2 linked regions of the Tamandua tetradactyla genome follow. The protein of the gene in region 1 interacts with the protein of each later gene in a biochemical or structural test. Links are inferred from orthologs where the notes say so. Each region holds a gene or a part of one and is shown in the gene's direction. Other genes may lie near its edges.

Region 1 (8,013 bases):
TTATTGGCTGATGAATTTCTTGGCTTAAATGGTGGAAATTTATTATTCATGATTTTGAGTCTCAGAGAAGTTCAAGGCATCATCAAGGCAATGCTTTCTTCCAGAAGACTGGCCTTCTGTCTCTGGCTGTTGGCAATCCTTGGTCCTTGCCTTTTCTCTCACATGGTAATACCCATGGTGGCCTCCTCTGGCTTCTCCCTCCCTTCCATGATCCATTGACTTAAAGCTTCTGGGTGCTCTTTCGGCTTATTATTCTCTCTCCATGGCCATCCCTATAAGGCTTTTAGCAATAAAATTAGGACCCATCCTGAGTCAGTTGGGCCACACCTTAACTGAAGCAACCTCATCAAAAGGCCCTATAGACAATGGGTTCATTCTCATAGAAGTGGATTAAGTTTAAGAACATGTTTTTCTGTGATACATAGCTCTAAGCTACCACATGATTATTCTTCATGGGAGATCTATTTATTCTCCATCATTTACTACTTTATTCAATAATTTAATTACAACAGTATTGATTGATGGATATTTATTATATACATTGGATTATAAATCAACAATACATCTTTTTGCACCAATTGACTCATGTTTGAACATTGGCAGTTCTTTCAAGTGGGTTTTATGTCCCTTTGGGAAACCCTTCAACATTGTGTGCAAGTATGTGTGTGAGTTTGAGTATTTGAGGCTTGAACACTTTTTATTACTTCCTAGGGCTACAAGAAGCTCCAGGTTCCCATTATATATCTCCTGTCCCTGTCCTAGAATCGTCATTTTCCTAAGGGCTCCTGGCTCCTTTTATTGTATATTAGTACTAGAAACCAAGTTTTGGACACTACGTTTTTGCTTCTGTATTTATGGGAGAGATTCATCTTTAATTTTCCTTTCTTATCACATCTTTATCTTCTTTAGGGATTAAAGGCATGCTTGCCTCACAGATGAGTTAGGATTTGTTTCCTGTGTTTTTATTTTCTGGAAGAGTTTTCCATGTAATATCATAATTTCTTCCCTAAGTATTTAGTGGGATTTACCATTAATACTATGTAGGCCTTTATTATTTGGAAGACTATTAAATATTGATTGAATATTTAATAGATACAGATCCATTGAAGGCATCAAATTTTCTTTCTATAAGTTTTTGTAGCTTATGGCTTTCAAGGAATTGGTATATATTAACAATATTATCAATTTTGAGGTAGAGATGTTCGTAATGCACTTTTAAAAATATTTTTAATGTCAGTGGAATCACCAGTGATAATCCTTCTTCAATTGCTGAAATAGCTCATTTGTTTCTTCTCACATTTTCTTGTTTAGTCTGGATCTATAGATTTTATTTATCTTTACATAAAACTAGATTTTGATTTTGCTGTTTTATTTTTATTTTTTCCCATTTTCAATTTCATTGATTTCTGCTCCAATTTTATTTTCTTCAGCTTGCTTTACATAAATTGCTCTCCTTTTGTTTCATCACTTCAAGTTGAGTGGTTCTATCACTTTGCAAATAAAAACTCCTCTCTAGGGTGGTGTGACAGTGGCTCGGTGAAAGAATTCTCGCCTGCCAAACAGGAGACCTTGGTTCAATTCCTGGTGTCTTTTTCCGTATCCTCTTGCTCACTTTAGTTCTGCCACATATTCAGCAAAATATTCTCTTTATAAGGAACTTCCCTCTATGCCTGTTATTCCCAGCTCATAAAATGGCAGTTGTATCTCTCTAATTTCTCAGGGCAAAAAGCTAGACAGCATCTTTAATTTCTTCTTCTCCACCTCTTCTGACACCCATTACACAATGCATCATCAGTCTTATGACTTCATCTCCTGTATAATTCACCATGACACTCCAGTTCAACATTTCATCACATCCCCGGGGTGACTTCTTTCTGCATCTCCAAAGGCCTAGGCTGAGCTGTGAGTGCTGAGATGAGGAATGCCGAGCTGCTTAGCCGTGCTACCTTGTGATCTCTCATTTAAGCACCAGCCAATTAAGTCAAACGTCAATCATTGCAGCAGACAGGCCTCCTAGCCGACTGCAGATGTAATTAGCAATTAGGTACCATTGGCTTATGTCCGCAGCAACAAGACTAGGTATGCTCACCTGGCCAAGTTGACAACTGAATCTAACTAACACAATAGAATACCTAGCAGCAGTCAGAAGCAAAGGACTAGAAGGCCAAAGAGTCAAAAAAAAGGTTGTTTGTTTTATTTTGTTTTATAAGATGGTAGCTGTCATAGCATGTTCATATGCTGATGGAAATGATCCAGCAGACAGAAATATTGGTAATACAGGAAAAAGGGGGATAATTGCAGGAAAAACAGTCCCCAGGTTTTGGACTCCATACCTGGAGCATGTGGGGATGGGGTGACATTTGGCCTTAAAGAGAAGCAAAGAAACTTCATTGTAACAAGATGGAAGTCAGTACATAACGTGTGGATGGAGGTAAATGGGTCAGGTTGGTAATAGGAAGAAAAAGATGTTTTATTTTGATTACTTCTATTTTCAGATTAAATATGAACCAAAATCATCAGTTAAGAATGAGTGTTGGAAAACAGCAGAGAGCTTTCACCAATAAAGCCTCCTTTCCTTTCTGTATTTATTCAGTCAGGCAACATCCAACAGAGATGGCTCCTTATAGGACAGCTCTTTCCAGTGTTTATATGCTTGATGCTTAGCATGATGTCTAAATATTGAAGAATGTTTGGTGTTCTTACCCAGCTCTTGAGGAGTACGGATTGAAACAGCCCTAAAACCAAAGAATATGTCAGGCACAAGTTAGACATGATGACCTGCCAAGAGGAGATTCTTCTTCCCAGCGTCAGCCATTCGGAAATGGAAGTCAGCCCCCCAGAAAGGCGGGGGTACAAAGGGACAGCTTATAAGGGTTCAGGACAAGGACATTTCATAGGGTATGAGAACAGAGTTTTAGCAGGGTCTCATGACACGGGTTTGGGAATTTCTTATCAACATATCAGGGAAGCAGAGTTTCAATGATTTACAAGATAAAGGGTTTAGTATACCATCTGTACATTCTTTTCCTCCTCCTGAAGATAACTTCTTTCTGTCACGTAGGCAGCTACATGCAATGAGTTACTCTCAATATGGAGGGGGAGACCCGGCCCTGGGTCGCCACAGGTAGATATCAGCAAGCACAGGTTGGGATCTAGTTATGGAGGGTGGGGTAGTATTGATGATAATATCACTAAATGCAACTATTTAGTTCATCGAATACTTCTTAAAGGATCGAATCCGGTAATTAAGAGCTCTACCTGCCTTTTCTCATTAAATCCAAATCACGACCTGTTTGCAACTGTTTATTTATAAAAAGGAAATCAAGGATAGCGGAAAATTTGCCATCTGGAATTCAAATTTCAGAATCAGGGCCCTGAATACTTTACCTTGAGGTAAGGGAGTGATTCAATGAAAAGACCCTTTGGTCTGGGGGATAGTAAGTGAAGATGGAGACCCCCTAAATTCTATTAGCCCAGTTATCTCCCGAGAGTTTGATTCTGAGCAGAGGAAGCTTCCGTCTCAGCATGAAATCCTAGTCAAACATCCTGATTCCACTGTCACCAGAGCTTCTATTTCCAGTTCTATCAAACATGTTGCCAAGCTCACATAATTTTTGTCAGTGAAACATTCTCTAAGGTACTACATTTGAAGAAACAGTTTGCAAATTAAGCGGTCTAGGTATTTATATGTCAAAGGTGTCGCTGTTACCACTATTATGGCTAAGAGAGTGGTCTAGGTGGGGGTCAAAGCCCTCTATGTTGCATATCAATACCGAGCAGGTTTAAAGAATTTTTGCCGATCAGTGTTGGTATGGGGGAGTTTTCTGCATGAAGGTTTAACTGTTCTGGAATTATTGGGGAAAATTATTCGGGTGTCTCTGCGAGACCCAGGATTGAAGTGCCCCGGCTGCCCCCCAGGGGCACGGGTCGGGTCCGCTGGGGTCAGGCAGGGTCTCGGGCAGCCACCCGCCGGTCGCGCGGCGGCCTCTGACCTAGATCTGGGAGGGTGCCAAGGGTCCAAGTGATTCGTGGACCCGAATCACACAGTCTCTAGTGCCCTCTGTTCGTGCTCCTTCATCGCCAACCCCCTCCTTTCCAACGAGAGCACGCACTTGGAAAGCTCCGGGGAGGGTGTGCGGGAGCGCCTAGGGAGGGGACTGTGTGCCGACCTGAGTCCCAAGAAGATCCGTCGGGAACTGGGGCCGCCCCGACGGCGCGGTCAGACTCCAGGGTGGAAGGGGAGGCAGCTGTTCTCCCAGGCGGCCGTGGGGGGCAGCAGAGCGGACGGCGACAGGTGCGGAAGCCCCTCCCGGGGTGGAAATGCAAAGGCGGGCTCCAGGGTCTGTTCCCAGGCTGGAAACCACCCCCGCCCCCCAACCAAATCCCCCGGAGAGGCCCGGCCGGCGCCGGGTCTGGAGGAGGAAGCGGCCGGAGACAGTGCAATTTCACGCAGCCTCTGGGGCTCGGGTTCCTGGGCAGAGTGGATGAGTTATGGGGTATCGAGCCCGGGGAAACTGAGGTGGCCGCACATGAGGCAAAGAACGCCCTCTCCCTTCGAAAAACACACACAGAGGGAAATATTCACATTCAGGGAGAAAATCCCCAGGTGATCCAACCGGCTGGGGGAGTTGAGCGATCTGGTTAATGGGCGAGGCCAGATTTCAGAGGGCCGGGCTTTGGAGCGCTCTCCCCACCCCCATTACATTTTCCAGGATTTGGGGGGCATTTGGACTCTCAGTCTCCTCTTAGCCCAGCTCGCGAATGAAAAGTAGGATGGGAACTTCTTAGCCTGCTTGACTAAGAAGAGGGAGTCCCCAGGTTGCGGGGCACTGGGGCGCGGGGCGCTCTTGGGGCGGGCGGTCGAAGGCTCCCGCAAACCCTACTCCCGCCCCGCGCGGGAGGAGGCGCGGCCGTGACTCACCCCCTCCTCCCTGTGCGCCCTCCCTCCCACTCTTATAGACACACACACCCCTTCCCTCCCATCCGCCCCGGACTCCGGCTCCAGTTGCAATTTGCAACTTCTGCTGCCGCCGCCACTAATTCGCTGGCGGCTCAGGTGGCTCCCGCTTCGATGTCCTAGTCCAGGGGCCCTCGGGCCGGACTCGGTTGAGCTTCCCTCACTCTCCACCGGAGTCATGAGGGCCAGCGCGCCTCTGCAGGTGCTGGGCTTCTTCCTTAGCCTGGCCCGGGGCTCAGAGGTGGGCAACTCGCAGGCAGGTAAGCGGCGCCGGAGCCTTTGCAGGCTCTGGAGCTGGTGCCCCAACCGAGAGCGTGGAGCCCCTCAGGGCAGGGGCAGGGTCTCAGGCGGTGCGAGACTGGGGATGTTGGCCCCAGGTTTGCGGGGACCACCTGGGAGGCGATGGCCAAGCTCAGAGGTTAGGGTTCTCGGCGTCCGCCGGGCGGGGACGGGATTCGTGGACCAGCCCCCTACTAGCGCGTCGCCGACCCTCTAATTCGTCCCTGGTGATAGGGGCAGTACCCACGTAGTAGTTTACATTTCTGAGGGACTCTACGGGGGCAGGAGCGGGGACCTCCGTCCTGTAAGCGCCAGGAGATGGTTGGAGATGGGGACCTGCTCCCCAGCCCCTTCCCCCTGAGTTTCAGCCACCTCCAGTTTCGTTGTTTTGCCGACAGGGCGGAGCTGCGGTAGGTTTGGGGTGTGGGGTGGGGGTGGTTGTTGTTCTCTGGTGTTGGAAAAACAGGAGCGGCACCTCCTCTTCCGTGAGTTGGCCTGCCCTGGGGGGGGGGGGGTGCTGAGTTAACGAGAGGGCCAAGTCCAGGTGACATCAGGGTGAGAGGCCCAGCAGAGGCTGCCTGCCCGCTTTCCCTCAAAACAACAAAGCTGGCTGGTCTCCGCCTTGACCAACTTCTCTTTGTCAATACCCAGGTTAATTCAATATTTATTGAGCATCTACTATACACAAGGCCCTTGGCAAGAAGCTACAGAGGCAGGACTTCCAGACTCTGTTTCTCCTATTTGTCTTTTTTACCCCCAACCTAAGATCCAAGAGGACACTTCTACCACCTCCTGAGGCTCCTGTTCTGGGAGTCCTTCCCAGGCCCCACTCCTTACCCCTATTCTGTTTATTTGTGTTGAAGAGACAGAGTCTCAGATTGCTCTCTATTCCTCTCTGGACTCCCATGACATCTGAGCCCCTTTTAGGTGTCTCTGAGACCACAGATACCTGAGGGGTGCTGGAACTGGAGAAGTCCTATTGATCTCCCTTCCCCCAAGTTTCCAGCTTGGTATTTGGCAGAGCCAGGGCCCCTTCCCCAGGGTGGGAGTGGGAGAAACACCTGTGCTTCACCCACAGTTGCTGGGCCTAAATTTAGACCCTGGGATCTTGAGATTTGAACACTCCCAGCTGGTGAAGGGCGGGGGTCTGGGGATTGGAGTACGAGGAAGTAGTAAATTGACTGTATCTCTGTCCTCGGAATCTTAAACGGAACCCTGGAGTCCGAGATTCTGGCCTCTGTCTCTAGGGGAGGCAGGAGGCAGGCATGGTTGGGTCTTTTTACCCTTTATCTGGATTCTGCAGCCTCTGGGCATCCGGCCCTGTCTCAGTCCTTCTATAGCCCCTTTGTCCCTGCTGGTTGTGATGGGGGTGGGGGTTGAGGAGGGGTTGGAGATTCTTGCTGTGTCCCTCCCCCAGAGCTTTCTACCAAAGGAGGGCCTGTGACACTGCCCCTCCCCATGCCCCTGGCCTCTGGCTACAGTCCAAGGTTTTACTAACTCCAGTCCCTCTGCCCTCTCCTCAGGCTGCCTAGTTCGTCCCCAGAGGTGTTATTTATACTCTCTCCCCACCTAGGCCCTTTGCTCCCTGTTTGTGTAATATGGACTTTACCCTCAGAATGGTGGAGGACTAGAGATGTATCTCTAATACTGTAGCCTTCCAAGCATAGACACAAAGTCTTCACAAACTCATATGGGCAGGTGGGATGGATGGGGACACCTAAATACTTCCCATGGGGACACCTAAATAGTTCCTAATCAGGAAGACCCCATAGAGAGCCCTGGGCCAGCAGAGGAGGTTTGCACACGTGTGTGTGTGTGTGTGTGTGTGTGTGTGCACGCATGCATACATATGCCACTTCCTTGTGTAGAAATCTTGGCTCCTCCCTTATCTGGGGAGAAGGATTGGCGCCTTGACTTGGAAGAGGGGGTGTCCTGCCAGGAAAGGGATCGGGGTGGAGCTGTTCTAGAAATGACTAACCTTCATAGTCTTTTTCATTTCACCCAAAGGACCCTGGAGTCCCCATGCTTCTCTGGGAGTTCCTGACCTGTTTACCTCTTTGTTGGGTCTAGCTCACCCCTGCGCTTGGTGGGTAGTGTTAGGAAAGGGAAGCCCTCAAAGGTCAAGTGGTCAGACTTGGGGTGGATCTAGGGAGAGGGACTTAAGCCTCAGCCATCTCTCCCCCCACCCCCACTCCTGCCTCCCACTAAGCTGGCACTGCCTCAGGGAAGGGTGGTTGGAACAGGTGGTATCTACCTTCCCCCCCACCCCACGCACAGTCTTTCACTGAGTCAGAGGAAATAGACAGGGGTAGGGGTAGACCAAGAGTTCCAGAGCCCCTGTATCTCCCACATAGATAAGGTAAAGTGGACCCCAAGATGACATGCTTCATGTCCCTCTCCCCTAATGCAGGTAAGGATTGCCCTGTTGGAAGGCCTGGCCTCTTAATGAAACCCTTCTAACAATGAAATTGGGTAGAGGGCTTGGCGGTTCTGCTGCTGCTTCCCTTCTGGCTTCTCTGCATTTGCTGAAACTAGAAAGTATCAGGCAGAGGGAGCTGAAATGTGTTGGAATAAGGGAAAGGAGCGAGAAGGGAAGCCAGGGTTTGGGAATAGGATGGGGAGAGGGGTAGGCAACCAGCCCCTTATCTTCCTGCTTTAAAGACAAAGCTGCTATTGACACGCCCCCCTCCGTTCCGCCAAAGTCCCCTCCCCCCACCAGTGAGGTCATTTGTCTGAACCCAAGACTTGAGGGGCCGGGTGCTACGAGAGGAGTCTGG
Region 2 (7,929 bases), on another chromosome or scaffold:
GGTTTCTAGACCATACTTTCTCAAGTAATAAACAGTTTGTTTTCAATGAAAAGAATATCAGGTCTGGTCTAATCATCTACTGGTGTGTTCTTAAGTTTCAGTGAACATCAGAATCACCTGAAGGGGCTACGTGTATCCAACCCTCAATTTCTGATTAAGTTTAGGGTGGAGCCCAAGAAGTTGCAGTTCTAACAAGTTTAAAGTGATACTGAGGCTTCTGGTCCTGCAATCAACTAGAAAAACTACTGCTCTAGAAATAAATGGTTTGAAAGAATGGGGAGGAGGATAATCTTCCTTACTTAATACTGCTGTTATCTTTAAAATAGAGGGTAAGCTATTATTTGGTGAAATATTTTCCTAAACAGTTACAGTCCACACATGTTTTTTCAAAGCTTAGTGCTGTAGCCACTTGCATATTGAATGCTTGAAATCCCTATAGCCAGGCCACACTGCACACCCATTAAATCAGACTCTCTAGGGAGCACAGCATCAGTGTTTCTAAGGCTACCCAGGTAATGCTAATGCCCAGCCAAAGCTGAGAACCATCGAAAACACTCCCAACCAACGAACAGTGCGCCTGAGCCTTATGCTGGGCAAGAATTGGAGCACATTAGTGTTCTCTGGCTGGCAGCCTCCTCCCTTTACCCTCACATAACCTTCAAATATGGGTCTAGGTTAAAGGCAGTCCTGACTGAAGCAACTTGTTCATGTTTTGGTGGGATGAGGTTGTCGCTATATAGCCACTACCTCAGGTCAGCAGTTAGAGTGAAATATATTTCAGTAGATGTTGGACAGCATGTCTGTTTCAAGTAGATTAAAAACCAATTACCTGAATGTTGAAATAAACCTCATTATCAGCAAAGAGCCTAGCTTCATTATCTAACTGAACGGCAGATAATTAGAACATGATACTGAATGTGATGCTCACCCTGACAGTGGTGGGGGAAAAAAACCTTTCAATTAGAATTGGATTATAAAAACTTCCTCTTTAATCAAGGGTTTTAACATGGAACAGACTTCCTGAATAAAATGGAAAGTTTCCAATACATTGAAACATAAAGCCACAAGTCACCATACATACAACACCCGGCAGGAAAAAAACAAAACACCAAGTTTACACAATCCCTGTAACTGAGCCATGGGTCTTATTCTCAGATGCTCCCTCCATCTGCCAGGTGTGTTCTGCTGGATATAGAGCCCACCATGGCATCTGGGGTCACACTTAGCTGAGGCTACGGCCCAAAGAGCACTCATCTCGCTGGGTAGAGGTGGTGTTGGCTCTGCTCAAGAGGCAAAGCAGTCACCAGCACATTCAAGCAGTCTATTGAATATCCTTTAAATATCAAAGTGAGAAACAAGAAGGCAACATTATCAGAAAGATGTTAGCAAGTAAGGACAGCTGTGTGTAGCTTGAGGTTGAAAAATCGTGTCCTATCTTCATTTCTTTGGCTTCTTGGGTAGTGGCCTCCGGAACAGTAAAATGTGAGGTTCTGAAAGAGGGGTGAAATCTTAAGAGACAAGTTTATACCATTCTGTGCACAACTTAGTTTATCTCATGCTGTCCCATGGCCACCTCCCAGCTTTCACCCACTTAGATCTTTAACTAAATTAAGATTTAAGCATATGGCTCTAGAAGCAGACCCAGAGGCAATTCTGCCAAGTACAGAATGGTTAATAATCCTTTTGCTGTGTTTGTACAGCCCTGGGATGTCCCTTATTAGTTTTGCCTGGCAGCTGGGTGTCTGGTGTCTTATCAACAAATATATTTTTCTTGGCTTATTTGGAACACATCCAAAAATCGGCTTTCTAGTGGAGAATGAAACAGGGCCATAACCTCTACCAGGGTATAGCTGGCCTTAAAGAGTATTCTCTGTTGAATGAATTAAAAATTAAAAGGAGATTTCTTCAGTGACAGGTTGTCTCTGAACTTCATGGATATTTTACTCTTATTTTTATTTTTGGTCACTCTAGTTTTTCTAGATAGGTGATGGAGGGGAAAGAGCCAGTAAATCATGCTCTCCTTCCCCCATTTCTTTGGGCAGCACACTTACTATTCCTTCGTTCTCTCAGTGTACCAGCCCTATACAGATGCTTTTAGCTGTTCCACTGACCTGGTTCATGGATCATATAATGGACCCATCCCTGACTTTGCTGAACACCAAGATTCCTCCATTCCGATTCAGACATCAAATGGGTTTTAGGGACCAGCTTGGCTATGTCCTTGGGCAACATGACATGCCTGTAAGAGAAACAAGGGAAGGCAGGGAATTTGTGTCAGCACTGTGAACAGTCTGTTAAAACAAGTGCCTGCAAACAAAGCCAAGAGAGGAGAGAAAAGAGAAACCAGTTTCTGAAGTCAGGAGTTTATACATTCCTTATTGTATATAGAGGGCTAGGGCCAGCTATGAATCCAGCCTAAGTTAGGTAAATCCTCACAAAAGTACCTTATAAATAATTTAAATGGATGAGCACTTAAGTCTCACGTACTGATACATTGTCCCTGCCTTCATCATGCTTACAGTCTTCTCATTGATTACCCATAACATAATGAAAGCCCCACAACAAACATTAATAATTAAGTTGGGTTTTGAACAGGTTTGGTAAAGGGAGAGCAATTTTGTGGAGCAGAAAGGCCCATTATGTATTGCTGTGTAGAAAAGCCACCACAAAGAGTGAAATGGAAATATCTTATCTTTTAAAGTCTATTCCAAATCATTTTCCTTATTCTGAAATAAGGATATGCCATGAGACTTCTTTTGGGAAACTCCATGCTTCCCTAGCCAGGGAAAAATCTCTTTTCATGACAGAAAAATTATTACTCTGAGCTTGAACCAGGCTAACCTGGGTAGACTTCATTATGTTCAGTGAAAATGTACTAAATGCTCCCTCTGTGCTAGTAAGAGGTTTTTTCCCAGAGATAATTCTAGTGTAGATGTCTGAAAATAGCTTACATTCTAACAAGCTTCTGCCACAAAGTTTGGCTTCAGTACATAATTTAACAAAAACCTCTTAAACCAAATTACCTTTGCCAAGCTAAGAGTTACATCTCCCAAAGGATGAAACTAGTGACTTCTCCCTGCAAAGATGTTATAAGTATCTAGTTTCAGTTAGTTTAGTTCAGATGTAGAGGTGTTTAGCTGAGGAAAAGAAAGTTAATTGCATCCGAGAAGGGCTTGGGGTTGTTTTACCAAGGACCTAGCATGAAAATGGTTATTTGTCAACACACACAGAATTTTCCAAAGTATACTCAGAGCCAGGCATTAGGCCAGGTGAAGAGACAAGACAAAAAGCAAGTTTCCATTTTATACTCTCCAATTGAGACAATATGCAAACAGAAAGTTGTCTTAATTATTACAATTAATACAGATTAGTAGAATGTTAACAATTGTAGAATCCTCTGTCTTTCCTCATTTTCCAATCTAGAATTATGGATTTATCAAATCTTAACTGTGCATACAATCCAGGGATTCCTTCTTTGCCAACCGTGGTAGACGACTAACCAGCAACTTGATTCTGAGGCACTTTCTCCTTCCTAATCTTTTCCTTGAGTCCATCTCAGGCAGTTTTCTCGAGGAAGCGTTCCCAGACCTACCAATTTCCTTGGCTGGTTTTATAAATCCCACCACACCCTGTACACATCTCTATCATATCATATAAGTGTATCTTCCACAGATTTTAAGTTCATTGAATGCAGAGACAACGTCTTATATTAACCTTGCATCTTAGCAGGACACCTGAAACCTGTAAGTACTCGTAATTGTTTCCTGAACAGATGCCCTTCAAATATCTAAAGTTTTTATTAGACTCATCTTAAACCTTTTCTCTTAGCCAATTTGTTCCACCTCGCAGCCCCCTTCCAAAATAAGCCAGATTTGGACCCTCTCAGGCCTCTCCTCACATTGAGGACACTAGAAAACCTCCAATTCCGCTTTTGCCAACTTCTCCCCGCAGGCATTCTGGTCCTAGACGGTTTGCCCAACAAAGTTGAGAGAATACTCCAGAAACCTGCAAAGGTGATGGGGGGTTGGGAGGTCAGGGACCGAAACACACACTCTAAGCCACGCCTCCTCTCAAGAGTCCAAATTCGCAACCAATTTATCTGTTCCCGAGCGCGCCCGACGCGTTGCGCATGCGCTTCACGCCCTCCACGCTCTCACAGCACTCCCGTTAAACCCCAGCGCATGCGCCGAATCTGTCGCCTCAGTTCTCATTACTAACGCCTCGTGTTCTCACTTGTCAAGGCTCACGACCACGTTACGGCCCCCGCGCCGGCACTAACCGGTACTCGAACTCCTCGTCGTCGTATTTGTCCGAATAGTAAATTTGTTTGTGCGACATGATGGCTCTGACTGAGGGCCCCCAGCCCGGCGCAGCCAAGCTCCAAACAACTCCCAGCAGCACGCGCTCCCACCCTCCTTGGCCTCGCTTTCAAACACACCGCCCGCACTTCCTATTGGCTTGTTTGGCTCAAGGCGGGACAGCTCCACCTTCAAGCCTCTGATTGGCTTAGATTTCTTCTCCTCGAGTCTTTATTGGAGCGCAGTATCCTACGTTTCTCTAGAACGAGCGTGGGACAAAAATAGGCCTCCTATTGGCTATCGCTGCGCTTGTGCTCGCTCTCGCACTGCTATTGGCTGATTTACGAAAGTGGGCGGGGCGAAGGAGAGACAGTGAGGTAGAGGGTCAGGGGTTAGTGAGGCCGGAAGTAGGTGCAATAAAGTTTCTCCAGGGAGGCCTGGCCCGGGGAGAAAGTTGGAGCGGCGACCTAGAGAGGCAGTGTGGCGTAATCCGGAACCACATCGGCCCGCGGTGCGGTGCGGAGACTCCATGAGGCCCTGGTGAGTCTTGACTTCTTTTCTTCTTAGGTGACCCACACCTCCACCCCGGAACCCCTCTCCCGGGACCCCACTTCCGGTCTCCCCTTTCAAGTCCCGCCCCCTAAGACCCCCTTCCCGGAAGTCCCACCTCTCAACTTCAGGGGGGGCTCCCCGAACCCCGATTTGTTTTCCATCTATTGTTCCTGACCCCACCCTGTCGCCAGCTTTATTGGAAGTCCCACCCCCAGACATGCTTCCAATCCCTACTACTAGAAACCCTTCGTTTGTCCTTTCAACTGTCTGAACTTCCGCCTCCTCTGGACGATTCTCCGCTAACTCTGTCTGTCAAAAGACCTATCTCCCAGAAGGGCCGAGCCCTGCCCCTCCAGGAACTATTCGAATTAATTGAAGCCACGCCTCTCTAGGGGCTCCACCCCTCCAGAAGCCACACCTCTCCCTTAATCTGCGTTTGATGGTGTAGAAACCTTGGCTCTCGGTAGTATCTGCTGCACGCATTTTAGGGGCCACGCCCCCACAGGAACTTTATTCCTGTAGGACCCAGGTCACCACCTCAGAGGCTTTGTCTTTGATTCCAGACGCTGTACATTAATACTTACATTTCCCCTCCCTTTCTGTCTTCTGAGCTTTGGACTCAGCTTTCCTGAGCTCTCTCATGCCCCACTGAGTGGGAAGACAAGTTCCCATCTTTCGTCCGAGGAGTAAGAGAGGCAGCCCCTCACCCCCTTCCAGTGGTGGACCGACTTGAAGAGGGACTTGGGGTCTGGTACGAGAGTAGGACAGAGATTTGCTTGTAGATGCCAAGCCCCACTCCTTTAGTTTCTCTTTCCAGGACCGACTCCACCCCAGGAAGAGCTGAATGTCATAACCTGCACTTCGCGAGCTGGGGAGGGCTGTGGATTCAGTGGTGTGCAGCGTGTGGGTGTGACGGGAGTGAGGGTTTTCTGTCACCTGAGAATGCGGGTTTGGAGTGGGGGCTGAGAGCAGTTTACCTGGTGGTGGTTGATTATTTTAAGGGACTCCTCGGTTCCCACCACTTCTCTGGCTCTTCCCCTCCCCCTAGCCGGAGTTCTTGTCTGGGCATTCCTCCTGGTCCCGCTTGCCTAGCCTTCCCGGCTGGAAACATTCCTGAGGCTTTCACCATTTCCTGCTACTTTCCTCCCAGCTTGCCTCCTCCCTGCTGGGCTGAGAAGCCAGACACAACGTCCCCACACCCAACCACCTGGGCTCCCAGTAGGCATTTTTCTTTCTTTCTATGCAAATTTAGAGCCAAAGTTCCTCTTTCTTTTCTTCCAAATGCCCACACCTGTTGGTTGCTCCCGACCTCTGGCAGCCACAGAATGGCTGTCTTGAAAGATGAGGATATCCTACTGTGTGTTGAATGTGTGAGTCTGAGGAATCCCTTCTTCATTTTCTCTAGACCTGAGAGCTGAGGTCTTAGGAGACGGAGTGATAGAATTCTTTCTCTGGAGTGGTGGCTGGGGTGACAAACTCTCCTGGGATGAGGGCTAATGGGAGGTGAAAGAGTTTAGCACAGTGTCTCACATGTTTTAAGTGCTAATATTGTTGATCATTTTTTTACCCTCTGAAGTAAATTTCAGGTTAGGGTAATTCCAAGGTGAGCTGGGGGTATGTGTCTTTTACTTCTTGTTTTTTGGTGGCTTCCTAAGTTACTCTGTTGCTCCCTTAAGCACAGTTGTGGTGAGAAGCTGTGGGTGGAAGGAATGGGTTTGAGACTTCCTTGTGTCCAGCCTCAGCCTGTCTTCTTCTGGCCTCCTTTTTTTTCTGTAGATTTTAAGACAAATCTGTCTTCTACTTTTTCTGTCCTTTAGTGGCCCATAGCTCCCATTTCACTTGGAAAACTGATCCACTCTCCCATCCGTCCCCTGGTGTGGAGGACACTGTGCTCTATGATGAACCCCTGCCCCTTCCCCAGTTACTGCTGGGGGTGGGGGGGAGGAGGGGTACAGGAGTACACCTGATGGATCCAGGGAGTTGACTTTCAAGTTAGTGCTCTGGCTCTCAGTTCTTAGCCTTGACAGCATTCTTTGCTGACTAGCCTGTGGGAAGAGGGGCAGGACTGTGCCTGGCATGTAGGTGCCATGCATAGGAAACAAGGCTCGACTAGCCTGTCCTCTTGTTCCAGCTGTCACCTCCAGCTTTATCCCCTTCACTTCACCAGTTTTGCCTTTCCTCTTGGCCCCTCTGTGCATCCACTGGGACCACTTCTTTCCCTTCCCCATTTTTCTAGCTCCAGTCCCCAGCTGTTGTGGCAGAGAAAGCTAATGGCTCAGGCTCCCTGGGGCCACCTTGACTGTGTGTGGTAGTGGTGGGGAGGTGGCCGGGGTTGGAGGATGGGGGAATGTGAGCATTCAACCAGGACTAGAAGGGAAGTGCTGAGCTCAGGGATCCCACCCTCAGCTGCCTCTGTTTCCTCTCTCATTGCTACCCCCCACCCTCCCATCCTGGCTTCCTGCACCCCCTGGCCTGCCCATGTCCTGTTTGGACTGATCCAGACATGCTCTCATTTCCCTCCTTTCCTTCCCACTTCTCCATCTTTCCCTTTAGCCCACAACCCGCACTTTACTCCTCTCTGGTGGGGTCGGGAGAAGGGGCTTAGATATCTCTACTCCTGCAAGGGTTCTAAGTCGGGGCTGCGGTGGGGGCTCAGCCCCTCTGAGCCTGTGAGTCAGCACTGTCCTCGCGATTGGTCTCTCCTCTTTGCTCCCGCCCCTGGGGAGGAGCCAGGCAGCTCTGGGTCCAGCCTGTTCTCTTCTCGCCAGAAGAGAGGCTCCACGTTGGGCGGGGATGGGCCCTGAAACTGTCTGGGTCTGAGCTGGGGGAGCAAAAGCCGCCTATCCCTCTCCCTCCAGGACTCCTGGGACTCTTAGACCATAGCGGTCTCACCAGGCTAAGGGCCTGGGATGCCCCTTGCCTGGCCCCCTTGCCCTGACTGGCAGGGGGGCCGGGCTGGGCAGCAGCCCCCTTCGCACCCCAGCCATGGATCTCTTGCCCCCTAAGCCCAAGTACAACCCACTTCGGAATGAGTCTCTGTCATCGCTGGAGGAGGGGGCTTCAGGGTCCTCGCCCCCGG

The links. The genes of interacting proteins can lie anywhere in the genome.
Region 2: the proteins of ERBB3 (region 1) and SHC1 form a complex in vitro, tested with the Homo sapiens proteins (2 studies listed by BioGRID and IntAct, with this or other methods). The link is inferred for Tamandua tetradactyla from reciprocal best matches to the Homo sapiens genes ERBB3 and SHC1.

The regions. Positions count from the first base shown.
Region 1 is NC_135333.1:123,144,190-123,152,202, forward strand, and holds the start of ERBB3 (receptor tyrosine-protein kinase erbB-3), read left to right. Parts: upstream 1-4,982; 5' UTR 4,983-5,135; coding exon 5,136-5,217; intron 5,218-8,013. UniProt on the Homo sapiens protein: Tyrosine-protein kinase that plays an essential role as cell surface receptor for neuregulins.
Region 2 is NC_135330.1:7,961,568-7,969,496, reverse strand, and holds the start of SHC1 (SHC-transforming protein 1), read left to right. Parts: upstream 1-4,890; 5' UTR 4,891-5,632; coding exon 5,633-6,220; intron 6,221-6,233; exon of another isoform or gene 6,234-7,835; coding exon of another isoform or gene 7,836-7,929. Other genes in the region: CKS1B (cyclin-dependent kinases regulatory subunit 1), read right to left, coding at 1,438-1,490, 2,112-2,239, 4,280-4,338. UniProt on the Homo sapiens protein: Signaling adapter that couples activated growth factor receptors to signaling pathways. Participates in a signaling cascade initiated by activated KIT and KITLG/SCF.